Linked DNA regions of Notamacropus eugenii. The protein of the gene in region 1 interacts with the protein of each later gene in a pairwise test. Links are inferred from orthologs where the notes say so. Each region holds a gene or a part of one and is shown on either strand. Other genes may lie near its edges. The genes, in order: NPAS2 and BMAL2.

Region 1 (7,946 bases):
ACACTTCCTGGGATACTTTTGAACTGAATATTTTTCCACACTGACTATTCTGGATAGGAAGAGTACGGCTACTTCCTTTAATACTCCCCACACCCCAAACATAAATATTGCACTGGAACATCATAAAAGTTCATTAGGACTTACCAAATAATATAATATTTCCTGTTGGGAAGGAAGTAGTCTATATAGCTCTTCTCATTCGGGAAGGAAAGTGTGATACAAAGAGTTATTGATTCAATGTCTGAGGAGCTGGGTTTAAATCCTGTCTCAGCCACATACTATGCATTCGAGGATGGGCAAATCACCACCTCACTGGCACACAGTTTCTTCAACTGTAAAATGAGGAGGTTAAACTTGACCATTACTACGGTCCTTTCCTGCTCATTCCATAATCCTAAGATCAAGGGTCATGAGCAACATTGTACCTTGAGCTTTCTTTTACTGGCAAGAATAGTACTCATCCTTTCCTAGCCTTTGTGATATTAGACTTGTTGACAATGCACACTCCTATATTTGATGTCACATATCCCAAAGAGGTCCTTTGGTAAAACTCCCCAAAAGTAAGCTATTTATTTTATTACCAACTTTATTTCCTTCTAGGAATCTTCCATGGCCACCACTACTCCTTGTATATCTATAATTCTCCCATTTTAGAGTTCTAACTTTCAGACATTTGAATAATAATTGTCCATGAATCAAATAAGAAATTGCAGACTTTAAATTGGAAGAACCATCAGATTCGTCCAAACAGGAAACCCTTCTACAATATTTCTGACAAGTGATCATCCAGCTTCCCCTTGGAAACTTACAATAAAGGAAATCCTAGTACCTGATGCTTTGAGGGGTGTGTGGTAAAGAAAATGTACAGTGACTTAACCAACTACTACTCATCTAGATATTAACTTAGATGGCTAAAAACTAAGGTCCCATAGGAAAAAAATTAATGCTATGATAACACATTCTGTGCATTGGCCTGGATAATGTTAGCCAAGTGTTCATTAAATAAAGATTTTAAAAATAACAATAAAATTCTTAGAAGAGAAATGAATAGGACATAAAAAATTAAAATTCATCATTAGGAGAAAAATTATGTAGGAACTGCCTAAACCAGTGTAAGATTATTCCCATATTTGACTAGTATCACATAAAAATATTCTCCCCCTTTCAATTCAATTTGACAAGTAACTATTAAGTTCTCACTGTGGACCAGGCATTGTGTTAGGTTGTAGAAATACAGAGGGGCAGCTAGATGGTACAGTGGGCATACCACCAGTGCAGGAGTCAGGAGAACCTGAATTCAAATCTCACCTCAGACACTTGACACTCACCAGCTGTGTGACCTTGGGCAAGTCACTTAACCCCAATTGCCTCATCCTGGCTCATCTCCAGTCGTCCTAATGAATATTTGGTCACTGGATCCAGATGGCTCTGGAGGAGAAGTGAGGCTGTGACCTGCACAGCCCTCCCTCACTCAAAACAAAGTCAAGTGCAAGCCATGTCATCATTTCTCTGATGTCATGATATTCTTCAGCAACGAAGGACGAACATACACACAGATGCAGCAGTATATCCAGTATAGTAGTAGTATTTATATAACAGAAATAGTACAGCAGATATAGAGATTTATACAGCAAAGATAGTAGTATTTATATAGTACCTACAATGTGCCAGGCACTGTACTAAGGACTTGACAAATAGTATCTCATTTGATCCTCACAACAAACCTGGGAGGCAGGTGCTACTAATACCTCCATATTACAGATGAGGAAACTGAGGCTACAGAGGAGAAGTAATTTGCTTGTCACAAAATTAGTGTCTGGTGCTAGATTTGAACTCAGATCTTTCTGATTCCAAGTCCATCGTATTATCTACTGTGCTGCCTCAAGGAATTCACATGCTACTAGAGAAAAACAAAAAAACTAGAGAAAAACTAGGTAAATAAGCACACAATGTATGCATAATAATGTTATTAGAGATAACAGCACTTACAACTTCATTGCTGAGAAATATGTGTGTGAGAGACAGACAGACACACGGACAGAGACACAAAGAGATTTCCTTGTAAAACACTGCTAAGCACTGAAATCAAAAATCTAAGACCAGCTAAGGTTTTGTCACAGATCAACTGCTATAGTATAACCTCTAATTTAACATAGTCTTTCTTTCAGGTCAGGTTTCAGTCTCTTAGTTATCCATACTTGGTTTAAAAGGAAATCTGACTTCACTCTTCTGCTTGCCAATCACATGATCTACTCTGCACAAAGGAAAAATCATGTCTTGACTTTCCCAGGCAGGCTGCAAAAGGCCTTTACCACAATTGTATCCTCATTGTGGCAAGGACGTTAAAGAATCATTTCACTCTATTTTGATGTGTTCAGAAGTTTCTGCAATATGGAAATTTTAAAATGCTACCCACCTTGATCTTTCAGAGGCAAGTTTTCAATTCTCAGATCTTTTTCTCAGAGGTTCTCAGAAGCTTCGGCTTATGACTCATTTAATTTTCTATTGCTTGGCCTGAGACCTCTGCTTTACCCTTACATTAATTGGGCTTTCACTCTTCAGTTGTGACATTTTGCTCTGCTTGTATTATGTTATACTACTTAATAATGCATGACAGGGTGGGGTGCGTGTGTGTGTGTGTGTGTGTGTGTGTGTGTGTGTGTTAAACTTCCTTAATATAATCTGAAGTTCAGTCTACAAGCAGCCTAATGGAAGTTAATATGAAAAAAGGGGGAAGCACTCATCATATTACTAATCACCCTAGAATCACCGAATTTTTGAACTTGGAAAAAAAAAACCTAGTCCAGGAATTCTTTACCGTTTTTTGTGGACCCCTTTGGTAGCCTGCTGAAGTATATGAACCTCCCCTCAGAATAATATTTTTCAATAATTGAAGGAAGCAAGAGATTAGTAAAAATAGATATAAATTTTCCCATCCAATTATGGAGCCCCCTGAAATCTCTCTAGCCTCCCATCTCCATTTTCCAAATGAAGAAACTGAGGTCCAGTGGCTTGCCCAACTCTCTTGTCCAGCTAGATAGTTGTAGTGTTGGTACTAAGACTCAGGTCTCCTGACACCCAGCCCAGAGCATTTTCCAATAAACCAGTAACCCTTTAAAAAAAGATAATATTTCCATAAAACATACGTTTCCCAGGATTCTCTCTTCCCTCACCATCACCACTATTTGTGCATAACCTTTGGCCTGTTATTCAATTCAACAAACATTTATTAAGCACATATTAGCGCAAGGCACTGTGCTAGACATAGGAAATTTTGTATTAGTCAAAAAGTAAAACAATACCTGCTTTCAAGGAACATTTGTTCTGTCATTCATAAAATATTCATTAATTTCATATAGTTCTCTGATATAGGTTCTAATTCTCATTCACATTTTTTTAAACCAGACCGGTGATTTTATTGGTATAGATAGGTCCCAGGGAGAAAACTTCCTCTACCAGTGTAGAACAACACCCAAACTGGAATTTACAGTCTTACATAGTTTACTAGAGTCACTGAGAGGCTAAGTGGTTTGCCCAGGCTTACTGGTTTTTAGAAGACAAACCTTGTGTTTCTGATACTTCCTCCGTCCCCCCATATACAAGAAGGGCCTTAATAAATATGTTTAATAATAATCAGGGTATAATCTGCTTCTATGGGTGAACAATATATAAAATGATGCCTGCAAAAACATTGAATTCCCCCACTAGTATCTATAAAATAATTTAAATGGTTAGCTATATTTTAATTTCTCCTGCACACCCCCTCCATACAAAGCTCTGAGACTGACAAAAATTCTCATTGATGAAAAGTCAAATGAAACTACTATTTTTAATAATTAATCATTAGGTTACATAAAAGATTTCTCTCCCCAACTAATTCTAAGTTTTATAAAATTTAGAAGACTGAAAAGAGCACAGCTGCTATAATTATGATTTACCTTTGTTATGTTATATCTGCTATATGTATTTTGTCATATTGTATTAAACTGACTCTTTACATATCCCTGTTAGGATAGGGATAAATCATCATCTTAAAATTCACTTCCTCAGTTGGTCATGGAGAAAAAAAATTCCCCTGAGGGTCATGTTCTAATCTAGCATGAATCTCCTGTTGTAGATCCACACTGTACTCTCTGCTATAGCCATGCACATTCCATAAGGTGTCAGTCCTATAGGATCTGCAAACAGGAGGCAAATCAGAAGGATTCAGAAGTAAATGAAAAAACAAAACAAAACAACCCAAAACATGTAGATGTCTTCACCATGATCATGGAGTATTATTTGTATGGCCTTGAAAACAAGAAATATAAAGTAAGACTTCAAGATTTATCACTTTATATTGGGTAGCAAATACTGAAAAATGATATGTTTTTTCATTGCATTACTCCTGTATCTGATGCATTATTGCCTCAGGGCGTTTCATTTTTCCAAGGGATCATTTAAGCATTGTCCAGCAATTTCCAAAGGGGGGGGCGGGATGGGGGAAAAGAGGTTTGGGATCCATTCCAAAGGAAGGGAGGAGCTTTTAAAATTCTGGATTAAATCCGGTTAAAAGTACACAACTTTATCCTTTGGACACTAGTCATGGCTACAATTTAAAGCAGGGTGAAATATAATTACCTAAAGAAGGAAAGGTAAGGGGGGAGGGGAAAAATTCCTTCTTTTGGGAATCTAAAAGACTTCAAAACAGTTACATTTCCTAAGCCTCATCGTTCTTCTTGAAAAGCACCTACAAGTTAGAAGGAATCCAGAGAATAGCAGCTTCTCTTAGAATGCTCGAGCCTCCTTACGTCTGGTTATTTTGCAGAAGAAGAATTAGGCAAAAATAATACAAGTGGGAAATAAAGAGAATGACCTACTTTACACGGGGGGTGGAGGGGTGTGTGTGTGTGAAAAGCTCTCGGTGAACGTTTTGATCTAATTGACGGTGTGGAGTTGCATGACCAAATAAGGCGGTGCTAGTTATGTCGGGGCTGCTGAGGCTCAAGCCTTGAACTTGAGGTGGGGGGGGGGGGGTAGAGAGGGAGAAAAGAGATTGGAGAAGAGAACGGGCAACCCCCAAGCCCCTCAAACCTAGTGGAACACCTAGGGGAAGCCCTTTCTACCAGTTAGCTGAATTCAAGGAAAGGGTTTGACAAAGGGACAGGTGGGGGCGCGTTCTTTCTCCAAGACAGCCTGTACATCTCTCCCTTACCGCTTAATAGAACTAAACTAGGATTTTTGGGATGGTGGATCCCCACATTAGAAGCTCAAGGGCTTGACTTGAGGGAAGGGGGGGAAGCGGTGCGGAGCTGATGAAAGGGGAGGAGGAATGGGAGGATTGGGGTTTGACTGTTCTTTAAAGCTGGAATTTTCTCACTCCCTGCCTGTGATTCAGGGTGGTGGTCTTTCTATGGGAAGAAGAATCCTCCCCTCCTCTGCTATTTTGTGCGGAAGGTGTTTGTCTCCAAGTAAGGGGTGATGGGAAGCAGTGGCATTTGGCGGCTCTAAAGCTGAGCCTGTCACAGTGGCATCTAAATGCAGTGGGGAGGAGTCCTGCCCGGGAAGGTCCTCAAAAATCCAGCCGTTTTTCAAGGTACCGCCTGAGTTGTTAGAGTCGCCCTTCTCTGCCCGACTTAAGTTTTAGAGACATGCGGAATTATCAAACAGCAGCTACTGGTTTATTTTAAGACTATTTATATACATTTGTCTCCTGACTGATATTTGCTGTAGGCTTTGTGAAACCCTCCCTGTTTTTGCTCTACTTATTTTTCCTCTCTCTCCCTCTCCAGCTTCTCCTTTTCTTGGATCCTCGCCTGTCTCCTCCCACAAAGCGAAAAAAAAAAGGTCACGTATGTTTGGAAAAATATGTAGGTCAGTGGAACATTTCCTGCACTTGTGCAAAAGGAGAGGAGGGTGGCGGGGGGTGGGGGGGAGGGGAAGTCAGGAGGAGGAATTGGAGGGGGGGAGTGTGTGCTCCTCTGGGCAATCTCCTCCTCCCCCCTCAAATCTACCTCCGATTTTAGAGGGGGTGGGGTGGGGAAGGGGCAATTAGCATGTTCCTGTTCATCCCTGACCCATTTTCCAGACCAGCTACATTCTCCTTGAGATAACCGATTGTTTCCAACGAGCAGCGGCAGTTAATGCCGCCACCTCCCCCAAACACACCTCAGCCCTAGTCCATACCAACAACTGCCCCCCATGCCCAATCTCCTCCTCTGACGCCCCTCTCCCCAACTAATTGGGAAAGCACATTTGTATTCTAATATTCTCTAAAGAGGATTCACTCCCCAGTGTGCAAGGGCACCAAAGCACAGCCCCATGCCCCCAAGGCAGGGTTGGGGGGAACAGAAGGGGCGGCCCGACACACATCCACACACGCACACACACGCAGGTGAGAGTGGGAGGGGGGTGGCCAAACGGGAGAGGGTGGAACCTGTGTGCCCCCCGGGTGCCAACTTTGATCGGAACTCTTGCTCCTTCTCTCCTAGGCCCATTCACCTCCAGACCACAGCCCCTACTCCCCACCCTCGCCAGCTTTCCCACCTCCCACCTCCCAGCTAGGCTGCCAGGCTGCAGCGGGACCCCAGGCGCCCTCAGGGAGCCCAGCCGGGGGCGCGGGCTGCAAGGGTCCGAGGCTGCAGGTGGAGAGAAGACTGCGTGTCAGTCCGTGGGTCCCGGAGCCCCCGTGTCGTGCGTGCGTGTGCGGTGTGTGCGTGTGAGTCCGCGAGGCGCAGGCGAAGCCGGAGCCCCGGGATGCGGTGGCTGCTCTCACCATGAGATACCGCGGCGGCGGCAGTAGGAGCAGCGGGAAGGAGGAGGAGAAGGAGGAGGAGGAAGAGGAGGAGGAGGAGGAAGAGGAGAAGGAGGCGGCGGCGGCGGCAGTGGCGGCGGCGGCAGTGGCGGCGGCTAACGAGGGAAACCTCCCTGGCTGGCTGTGTGTGCGGAAGAGTTTGCCTTCCGAGCAGCCCGGCCTCCCGCAGGACTGGAGCGGCGGCGGCAGTGCGAGACGCGGGGAGAGCGGTCCCAGCCACCGCCAGGGTCGGAGCCGCGACTGCGGCGGGGACGGTGGGAGCAGAAGCAGGAGCAGGAGCAGGAGCAGGAGCAGCCGCCGCCAGCAGCCCGATCCGAGCAGCCCCAGCTCTCGGGTCGCCTCGGCCGACAGCAGCAGCGGCAGCTGGAAGAGCGCGGTCCCCGCCAGGCTCCAGGGCTTCCCCCAGCAGCGGCAGCGGCCGCTGGAGCCCCCCGAGCCCCGCAGCCGCCGCCGCCAACAGCCCAGGTAGTGCGGCTCCGGGGCTGGTGTGGGGGCGGGGATGGGGGGAGACCAGGCAAGCTTTCTCGGGCTTCTGCTGGGTGGCACGCGACTGACTACATGCCTCTCTCTGCGTGTGTGTGTGCGTGTGTGTGTGTGTGTGTGCGTGTGTGTGTGCGTGTGTGTGGTGAGCGTGGGCGGGTGTGTTCATTCACCTGCTGCCTGAGGCGGTGGGAAATGCTGTCCCCCAGCCAAGTGCGGGGACCCCCCGCGCAGACTGGGCCGTGGGGAGGGGAGCTGGGGGAAGGCCCCCTATCTCTGTGAGGTACATGCATATTCACACGCCCATGGCCCTGGGTTACCCATTTCTGCAGGAAAGCCGGAGGAGGAGAAGGAGGTGGCGATTGCAAACTCTGGGCATTTCAGTGTTTGCCTGAGAGTCTGGAGGCAGTCCATGGGGCACCTCCGAGACTTTGGGATGTTTTAGACACTTTTGGGGCAGCGTCTGAGGGGGAACTTAGCCCAGGCAACATCATTTGGGAATTTGTAAGCCATCCCCACCCAAGCCCACGATCGCAGATCCTGCGGATTCCGGTACGTTTTGAACTCCGGATTGATTGCTTAAGGCTTTTACGCGCTTGCCCTTTGGTGGAACCGCCACGAGTGGGGAGGAGGGGGTCGAGAGCCTTCTGACATTTGGAGGGAAGGAGAGGGT
Region 2 (8,313 bases), on another chromosome or scaffold:
GATTCCTGGAATAGGAACCTGGTAATAAAGAGCTATAGATCAGAACTGCCTTAAAACATTTTTGTTTCACCCAAAATAATGAAATAGATAAGTAGAGAGAAAGTGTTAGGTTGAGGAAGACCATTAAGATAATAGGCAAAGTTCTAGTTTATTTTGAGTGTACTAGTCATGCAATGTAGGATGGGATTAGAACTGTGATTTCATTAATAAGAACTCCTGAGTGAGGAAGACCTCTCTCCCAGTGCAAGTCAGTATTTTCTTCAAAATGTATAGTTTTACACTGGTCTCGAGTCAGGAGGACTATCAGATCTGCCTTCAGACACTTACTAGTTATGTGGCCCTGGGCAAGTCATTTAATCCTAATTGCCTCCAAATTTAAAAAAAAAAAAAGGAAGGAAAGAAACCAAGAAGAAAAAGAAATGTATAGTTTTAAAGAGTTGTATAGAACACTGAGAGGCTAAGTGATTCATCCAGGGTCACCCATCTAGTGTACTGGGAATGGGACTTGAATCCAGCCAAGTTTTCTTAGATTCAAGGCTGGATTTTTGCTTCTCACGTAATATAAGAATGTATTAAATTATGTGTAGGGATCATATCTTACTTAAACCTTAGGTCTTAACTTCTCTCTACCATATTTGTTGCTGTTCAGTCCTGTTCAAGTCTTTGTGATCCCATTGGGGTTTTCTTGGCAAAGACAATCAAGTGTTTTGCCACTGTTTTCTCCAGCTCATTTTACAGATGAGGAAACTGAGGTAAACGGGGTTAAATGACTTGCCCAGAGTCACACAGTAAGTGTCTGAGGACAAATTTAAACTCAGAAACATGAATCTTCCTGATTCGAGGCCCAGCACTCTATCCACTGTGCCATATATCTTCATCAACCAAGAAAAAGCAAAACCAGAAAACCTCAGATGTCCAGTTCAGTTCTGATCCTTGTTTAAAGTTGTAAGTGTAATCTGCCAAGCCCAGAGGATCTGTTGGAATCTGCAACAGTCCCACAGAGAACAAACCAATTCTGAGTCATGCCTAACGTGAAAGACTCCAGGAAGACTGAGGAGTTACAGGGCTACTTTGGATGGCACAGAAGTTCACCACTAGATTTCCACTTAGCCCAAGCCTGTCTAAAAGGGGACTCAAGCCTATAGGCTGGCCTCAGAACTGACCTGATATCTCAGGCCCCTCCTAAATATGGATGATGAAGGGTTGAGTTGGACTTGCTCGGTCTTCTCAGAAATATAATGCCTACTGAAAACCTGTCTCCTTCTCAAGGCATACTCCAGGGTCTAGATCAGTTTAACACAAGGCTCTAGGATTCAAAGAAAAAGAAAGGGGGGAGGGGGGAGGTGTTAGGAAATGAGATGCAATCTGCCTCACTTCATTCAGTCTCTCAGAAGGTCAAACTGTCATTATTGCAGTCACCAAACTCACTGTTTATGTATGTTTATATAAAGCTAAGTCAGAAGGATCATTTTAAGCATGTCCTAACTTCACATTTAGTTCTCAACTAAACAACAATGTTTATTTATAATGAAAATAACTTAGCTAAAGGTACCTTGTCACTAAGGTTCAGTCAGGGCCATACGATTTAATCTAGAATTTCTGCTCACCTAGATTAGCATACATTGAAAGAATTCAAATGCCTCCTGGATTTGGACAAAACTGGTTACATATTTTCACAAGTCTAGACAAATATTTTATCAGGAGACCAGTCTTAACTAAAAAATAAAAAGGAGCTATAAGTTAAGTAATTGTTTATCCCAGTCTTCTGCAAAATACATGATGAGGTACATTATGATGGTGGGAATTGGAAACACTACAAGACTCCAAAGTACCACTTTGAGAATACTAAGTTTTCTCATCTCACAGTCTATTTTGGCAAATAATTGAATATATTTTTACTACATTAGGTAAAGCTTATAGAAATCTAATCACCTCTGCCCAAATATTTTTTCTGCAAACTCTCTTAAAATTCTTTTTATTTCTCTGTCACTTATCTTAAGTGGTAGATACAATGATGGTTCCATTATTTTCAATAACAGACCCAAGAGACAGACTACTATAAATAATTATAATAAATGAAAGAAAACTTTGTATAACAGAAAGTTGGTTTTTTCTGAACAACAATAAAAATCCTGTAAGCTGATGTATCAGCATTGTACCATGAGAGGCACTGTTAGAATGAGAGGTCCTGGGTTCAAATTCTGCTTGTAACTTCCAATCATTCAACCTCTCTGGGCTTCAGTTTCCTCAAATATAAATCGGGAGAAGGGATTGAATAGGTAGCGGCTGCTGCTCTAAATCTATGACCTCCCCCTTTATTACAAGGAGTGTGGGGGTGTGGGGGTGTGGGCGCGTGGGTGTGGGTGTGGATGGATGGGTGCGTTTCTTGGGGCAGGAAGAGTAGAGGGAAAGAAATAGATTTTCGTTTCTTTTAAGGAGCCTGTGAGCTACAGCTCTCCTGCCTGTTTTTCAGTCAAAGTTGGTTAGTTTCTGGAGCCAGAAAGAGAAGAGAATGCTGCCTGTTCTTCCTGTGTTCTGGAATGACAACAACAACAACAAAATTCTTTTTATGAATGATGATGGCAGGGGGCCAGAAGAAAGCAAGTAGACCATTCAAAATGACAGACAGAAAGAGGGTAGTAGGAAGGAGATCTGTGACTACAGATTTGCTCTGGAATAACGGAACGGATTTGCTTCTAGGGCTCTCCCCTCAGGGCAAGACATACACTTAAATCTGCCCAAGCGGTGCCAACACAACTTCCATCGTGCCTCCCCGGCAAGCATCCTGCCACCTGAGCCCATAGGTGTGCACATAACAAAATCAGAGCCTGCTTTCCCTTTCTGAAGGAGCTAAGTGCTCTCTCGTCAGTCGCTCACCCTCATCCGCAGCAGGTATCCCAAGGAGCGGCGTGAACAGGCAGGCTCCTTCCATTCCCATCCAGGGCAGCGGCAGCAGCGGCAGCGGGTCCCCCAGCTCGGGGTCGATGGAGGGGGCTAAGCTCCCAGACTCGCCCACCCCCCTTCCCAAGCTCGCCCCAAGCCCGCCAGGCTGTGTCACTTAGGGACTCACCTGGCGCCGCAGCCTCGGCGGGCTGGCTCCCTGCAGACTCAGTGTCTTCTCCCCCAGCCATAGCAGGGGCCGGCCGGCTGGTTCTCGAGCCCTCGGGCTGGCTGCATGGAGGGGGGCCCCAGTCCGTCCAGCACACGCCCGACGAGGCTGATCCGGCAGCGCGGCGGCTGCGGGCACACCTGCGGGGCTGCGCCAGGGATGCTCAGCGGCCACCTCTGCAGCGAGCGGCCCCTCTCCCTGCACACCAGCCGCTGGGGCGGGCAAAGCTTCAGACTCGCCTGCCGAACCTGCCGGGCTACTGAGCATGCCCGGTCGGGCTGCCCTGGCACCCGTTCAAGGCAAGCAGTGGATGCCGATTCCGCTAACCGGGTTTTCGGGGTAACTGGGAGAAATGCGAAGGAGGAGCAGAGGCTGGGCTGGGGGTAGAGGTGCCTGCGGCAGGCTCAAAGTCTTTGAAAAGGAGATCCCAGAGTCCAGGAGCTCAGGAGATAGATGGATGACAAAAGATACAGACAGATCACAGATGACTTGCGGACGAGGAAAAAGGGGGATTCCCACTGGCATCCCTGATCTCAGTATTAATGCTGCCCAAAGAGCTCCCTGAGAGGCATAGGATTTACAAACAGAAGGGACCCTAACGATCATCTAAGTCCAACCCCCGCATGTTTACGGATCGGGAAACTGAGGCCCAGAAGGGTGGAGTGACTTACCCAAAGTCTCACAGTTACTAAACAGCAGAGATGAGCCTGAAACCCAGGTCTTTTAACCCTGGGTTCCAATGTTCTTTCTACTGTGCCCTGCTCCCTCCATACAGCTGAAATTTATATCAATGTATGAGTGTTAAAATATGAAATTTTTCAAAGTGAATGCCCATCCATTGGGGAATGGCTCAACCCGTCGTCGCTCAAGATTGTAATGAAATATTACTGCTATGTGAGAAGTAATGAATATGATGAAAACAGAGGAGCACGGAAAGACTTTATACAAACCATAGTCAGGAAGTCCTGGGTTCAAATCCAGCTGCAGACGTTTACTATCTCTGTAACCCGGGGCAAGACATTTATCCTCTCTTGGTCTCAGTTTCCTTACCTATAAAGGGAATGGCCTTGGACTTGGCCACTAATGAATCTAAGTCTATGGTCCTATGATATGAAATGAAGTAAGCAGAACTGAGGAAACCATAGACACAATGACCACAACAATAGAAATGGAAAGAAATATAAGAAACAAATATTAAAAATTGAATGCTAAGAATCTGAGGCCCTTTCCCCCACACTCTTACTTTACAGAAGTGGGAGGTTATGGGTGTGAAATACTGGATAGAATGTCAGCCTTTTTTCAAAATGTGTGTTAATTTTACCGAACTTTTTTCTGCTTTTATTATTATTTTTTTAAAGTAAAGGATGGCTCTCTGAGAAGGGCGCAGGGATATATTGGGAAGGGTAGGTGAACCAAAATCAAAAGATCAAGAAAAAATTATTTTAAAATTAAAAAAAGAAAATGACATTTCTTTTTTAGTAGTTCAACCCCTCCAATACTTTGGTCTTATTTTTAAGTTTAAAAAATGTTTATTTTTACATCACCTTGATCTTCTTTCCTCCTACTCAGACAGTCCTTCCCTATGGCAAACGATAAGAAAAAAAGGGGAGGAGGGAAGCTGTTTGGCAAAATTAAACAACACATCAGTTGGTTCAGAGAATATATTCAATATTCCACAACCATACTACTCCACCTTAGCTTAAAAAGGTCAAGGTCTCCCACTGCCTACAGGGCCATCTCCAGTCTTGTTACTGGACTCAGATGGCTCTGGAGGAGAAAGTGGGGCTGGTGACTTTGCACAACCCTGCCTCACTTAAATCCTATTCACTTGTCATAGCATCACCTTCTGGATACTATGATTGTCTTCAAGAAGAATGGACAAACAACAACTCCCCCACTGCAGAAAAGAGAGAGAGAGGTTCAGAGACTGACATCACTTACTGTCTTAACTCATATGGAATCTGACATCCAAAAGTAAAGCCACAGAAGTATAATGTAAAGGGTTGAATTTTCAGAACTCCATAAAGAAGAGATAAAGGAATGAAAGAATGCTTTAGTTTGAAGATAACAAAGAATTTCAAGGGTGACACTAAGGGGACAGCAGGGACCAGGGTAGTGAAGTTGGAGTGTAAAAAGTTGAGTTTAACTTCCAGCTTACCTATTTTATATAATAATGATCTATAATTTATATTAAAATTAAGGTTACATGTTCTATAAACATACATTCTATATAATTATACAAATATATAATTACTTATTAATTGTGTGACCTTGGACTTAAACTTTTTGGGCTTAAGCCTATACCATGTATATACAGCATGATAATTGTGATACTTGTGATAATAAAAAAAATCTTTTGGGAAACTTTTCTGAATACTGATAACAGGCTGCCTCTGTTTTGGACCCATGCTCATTCCCTTTTATTTTCTGGAAAAAATCCATTTCATGTGTCTTGCTGGCCAATCCCCAGTTTCCCTTTGTATATGACTTTAAAGATGGGAAATTTATCAAACCACCTTGAGTGAAAACTTATGTTCTCCCACCCCTCAAAAATAAAGTTCCTGGACATCCTTCATTATCAAGGAGAAGAGTGATGAGAGAGTCATAGATCCTGGATATGCTACATCCTCTTCCTCCTGCTAGAGTGTGAAAACTTAAAGTGCTGGTGACCTCTCAAAGTATAGCCTTTTTTTGTTCTTGCCCTTTCAGTTTTTACCTCTCCTCCTGTGCCCCTTCTCTCCTCAGCAATATGGTTTCTTATTTTAGGTTTTGAGTTTTCCCTTGTTTGAGTTGCAACATACTGTAATAATAGCCCATGACTGCCCTTTCTTTTGTGAAGCCTGCCTTGTCTCCAAAACTGCCATTATGGACTATAATTTAATTGAATGGGTAATATATGGTTAATGTCTGCCCTGTATCACAATGTCATAAATCATAGATCATAGATTTTTAGAATTGGAAAGGAACACAGAAGCTATTGAGTCCAACTTCCTTATATTACAGAAAAAGAAACTGAGGCAGAGAGAGTTTAAGTGACTTGTCCAAGGTGTGATTATGAAAATCAAGTGATATAATATATGTGAAAATTGTTGGGAGGAGGAAAAAAGTGCTACAGAGATTTAAGGTATTTGTTTCTTCATAGTAAAACTGCAGAAAGGTTTGGTCCAAATATAAGGAAAATCAGATGATTATAAGAGATGGAGACAGAAAGGACCTGAGAGATCATCTAATCCAACCCTCTCATTTTAGAGATGAAAATACTGAGGCTCTGATCCAAGGTTGTCCACGTAGTGAGTAGAAGAGCCAAGATTCGTACCCAGGTCTTCTGATTGCAAATCAGTGTTCTTTAGACTGTACTATAAGGGTTTCCCTTGGCTTTCTCAAAGGTAAAATACTGGAGAGCAGTATGGGGTAAATGAACACTGCTCCTAGAGTCAGCTGATCCTTGGTTAAAATGGCAACTTGGATATTTGCTAGCTATGTGATCACAGGAAAGTCACAACCTCTGTAAGCCCATCTCTTTAAAATGTAGATAATCATGCTGTGTACAACTGTGTCGAACTTAAACTGCTACAAAAAGTGGGTTATTATTCCTGGTGTGACTGATAGGAATACAAGGTGTCCCAAAAGTCTTACTGCAGTTTAAAGTTTTAATCATTTAAATTGCTTTACTGAATTCAGATTCTAGGGACACACTGTATGTTATTGAACAAGCCAATCAATACTACCTTTTCTTCCCCTTGGAAAATCTTTAGTGACAGGACTGACACCTATCTCCTGGAATGTTTTATACAAAGCAGGGCATTGGGCAATGTCACCTTTAGAAATCACTTACAGCATTAAGATCCTACAATGAATTTTCTAGAGATACAATCCAAGTTTAGAATATGCTATTTCATAGTCCTTAGGTTTCCTTGGTTACAGCTTTCTTAGTTGAGGTAGTGGCAAATGAAACAACCCAGAAAAAAATTCCAAAGCCTTGTACACAAACCAGATGACATTTGATAATTATGCTTCTGTGAATCTAACCTTAATCATGGGGTTCTAAATTACCCATTATGATTGGAGAACCTACTCATTAGTCCTGAGTGTTACTTAAAAATAAGGCCATGCCAAGGGTATGACAGCTGAGGGTTCTCTCTTCCATTCTTAGAATCAAAGACCTCCACCAAAATCTAGTAAGAAGGGGATATGGGTGACAAAATGGGATGCCAGAGTTTAAGCTTTGGCAGGTTCTATCAATCTGGAAATGTTTTGAATAAGGTGCCAATGACAGACTGGATGTTTTGCAGATGAACACTGGCCTAGTCAGAGAAGGTCAGAAGGGATAGATATTGTAAGGATGGTCACCAAGTGATAAACTTTTTCAGCCACAATAACTCAAGGATATCAACTACTGAGGCAAAGGGAAGCTGTGGGTACAAGAAGTATCCACATAGATCAATCAATCAATCAACAAACATCTATTAAGTACTTACTATATGCCAGGAACTATACTAAGCCTTAGGCATACCAAGTAAATCAAAACACTTTGCAGACAGGGCCACCAAGAGTCCTTAACTTCACAGTGTCCCTCTTGCCCTCCACCCTTCTGCCAATCCCATCTCATTCTTTGACATTGCTAATAAGGAGCCCCTGGACCAAGCTATTTACAAGCTCTTTGCAGGAAAGGTTCCAAAGAGTAGAAAACTTCCATGAAGAGAACTTTACCCTGAAGTACCCTGTCCATGGCAAGTGCTGGGCCCCACACAAATGGCTCCTTGTTTTTCATTCCTACAGCTAACACTGGCTGGATGGTAAGCATGTGGTCTTTGGCTAGGTGAAAGCCATGGAGTGCTTCACATTCCACGATGTCAAGACCAGATGGCAGATCACCATTTCTGACTGTGGACAACTCTCATAAGCTTTTCAGTTTAGTTTTTTTGTCTTACCCACTAAACTATTCCTTTGTAACTGGGGAGATCACCCCTGGATGTTCTTATACCCTATAATCTTTGTGCTTCACTTAACTGCATTTCCCTTTAGATTCCCCTTTTCTTTCCACAAGTCTGGTTAGACTGGAGCTAAATTTATGATCATGAAATTTAAAATGAACAAACCCTTCCCCACAAAGTCAAAAGCCTGCCCTCAAGAAGCTCCCATTCAAATGGGGAAGAAAACACATAAGTAACTATGTACATATAAGATATAGACAACATAAATAG

Evidence for each region.
Region 2: the proteins of NPAS2 (region 1) and BMAL2 interact in binary tests that used the Homo sapiens proteins (3 or more experiments, as listed by UniProt). The link is inferred for Notamacropus eugenii from reciprocal best matches to the Homo sapiens genes NPAS2 and BMAL2.

Annotation. Positions count from the first base shown.
Region 1 is NC_092876.1:408,883,700-408,891,645, forward strand, and holds the start of NPAS2 (neuronal PAS domain-containing protein 2), read left to right. Parts: upstream 1-4,560; 5' UTR 4,561-4,634; intron 4,635-5,399; exon of another isoform or gene 5,400-5,771; 5' UTR 5,772-5,853; intron 5,854-6,076; exon of another isoform or gene 6,077-6,373; intron 6,374-6,470; 5' UTR 6,471-6,755; coding exon 6,756-7,258; intron 7,259-7,317; exon of another isoform or gene 7,318-7,946. UniProt on the Homo sapiens protein: Transcriptional activator which forms a core component of the circadian clock.
Region 2 is NC_092874.1:178,212,112-178,220,424, forward strand, and holds the start of BMAL2 (basic helix-loop-helix ARNT-like protein 2), read right to left. Parts: upstream 3,347-8,313; 5' UTR 3,071-3,346; intron 1-3,070. UniProt on the Homo sapiens protein: Transcriptional activator which forms a core component of the circadian clock.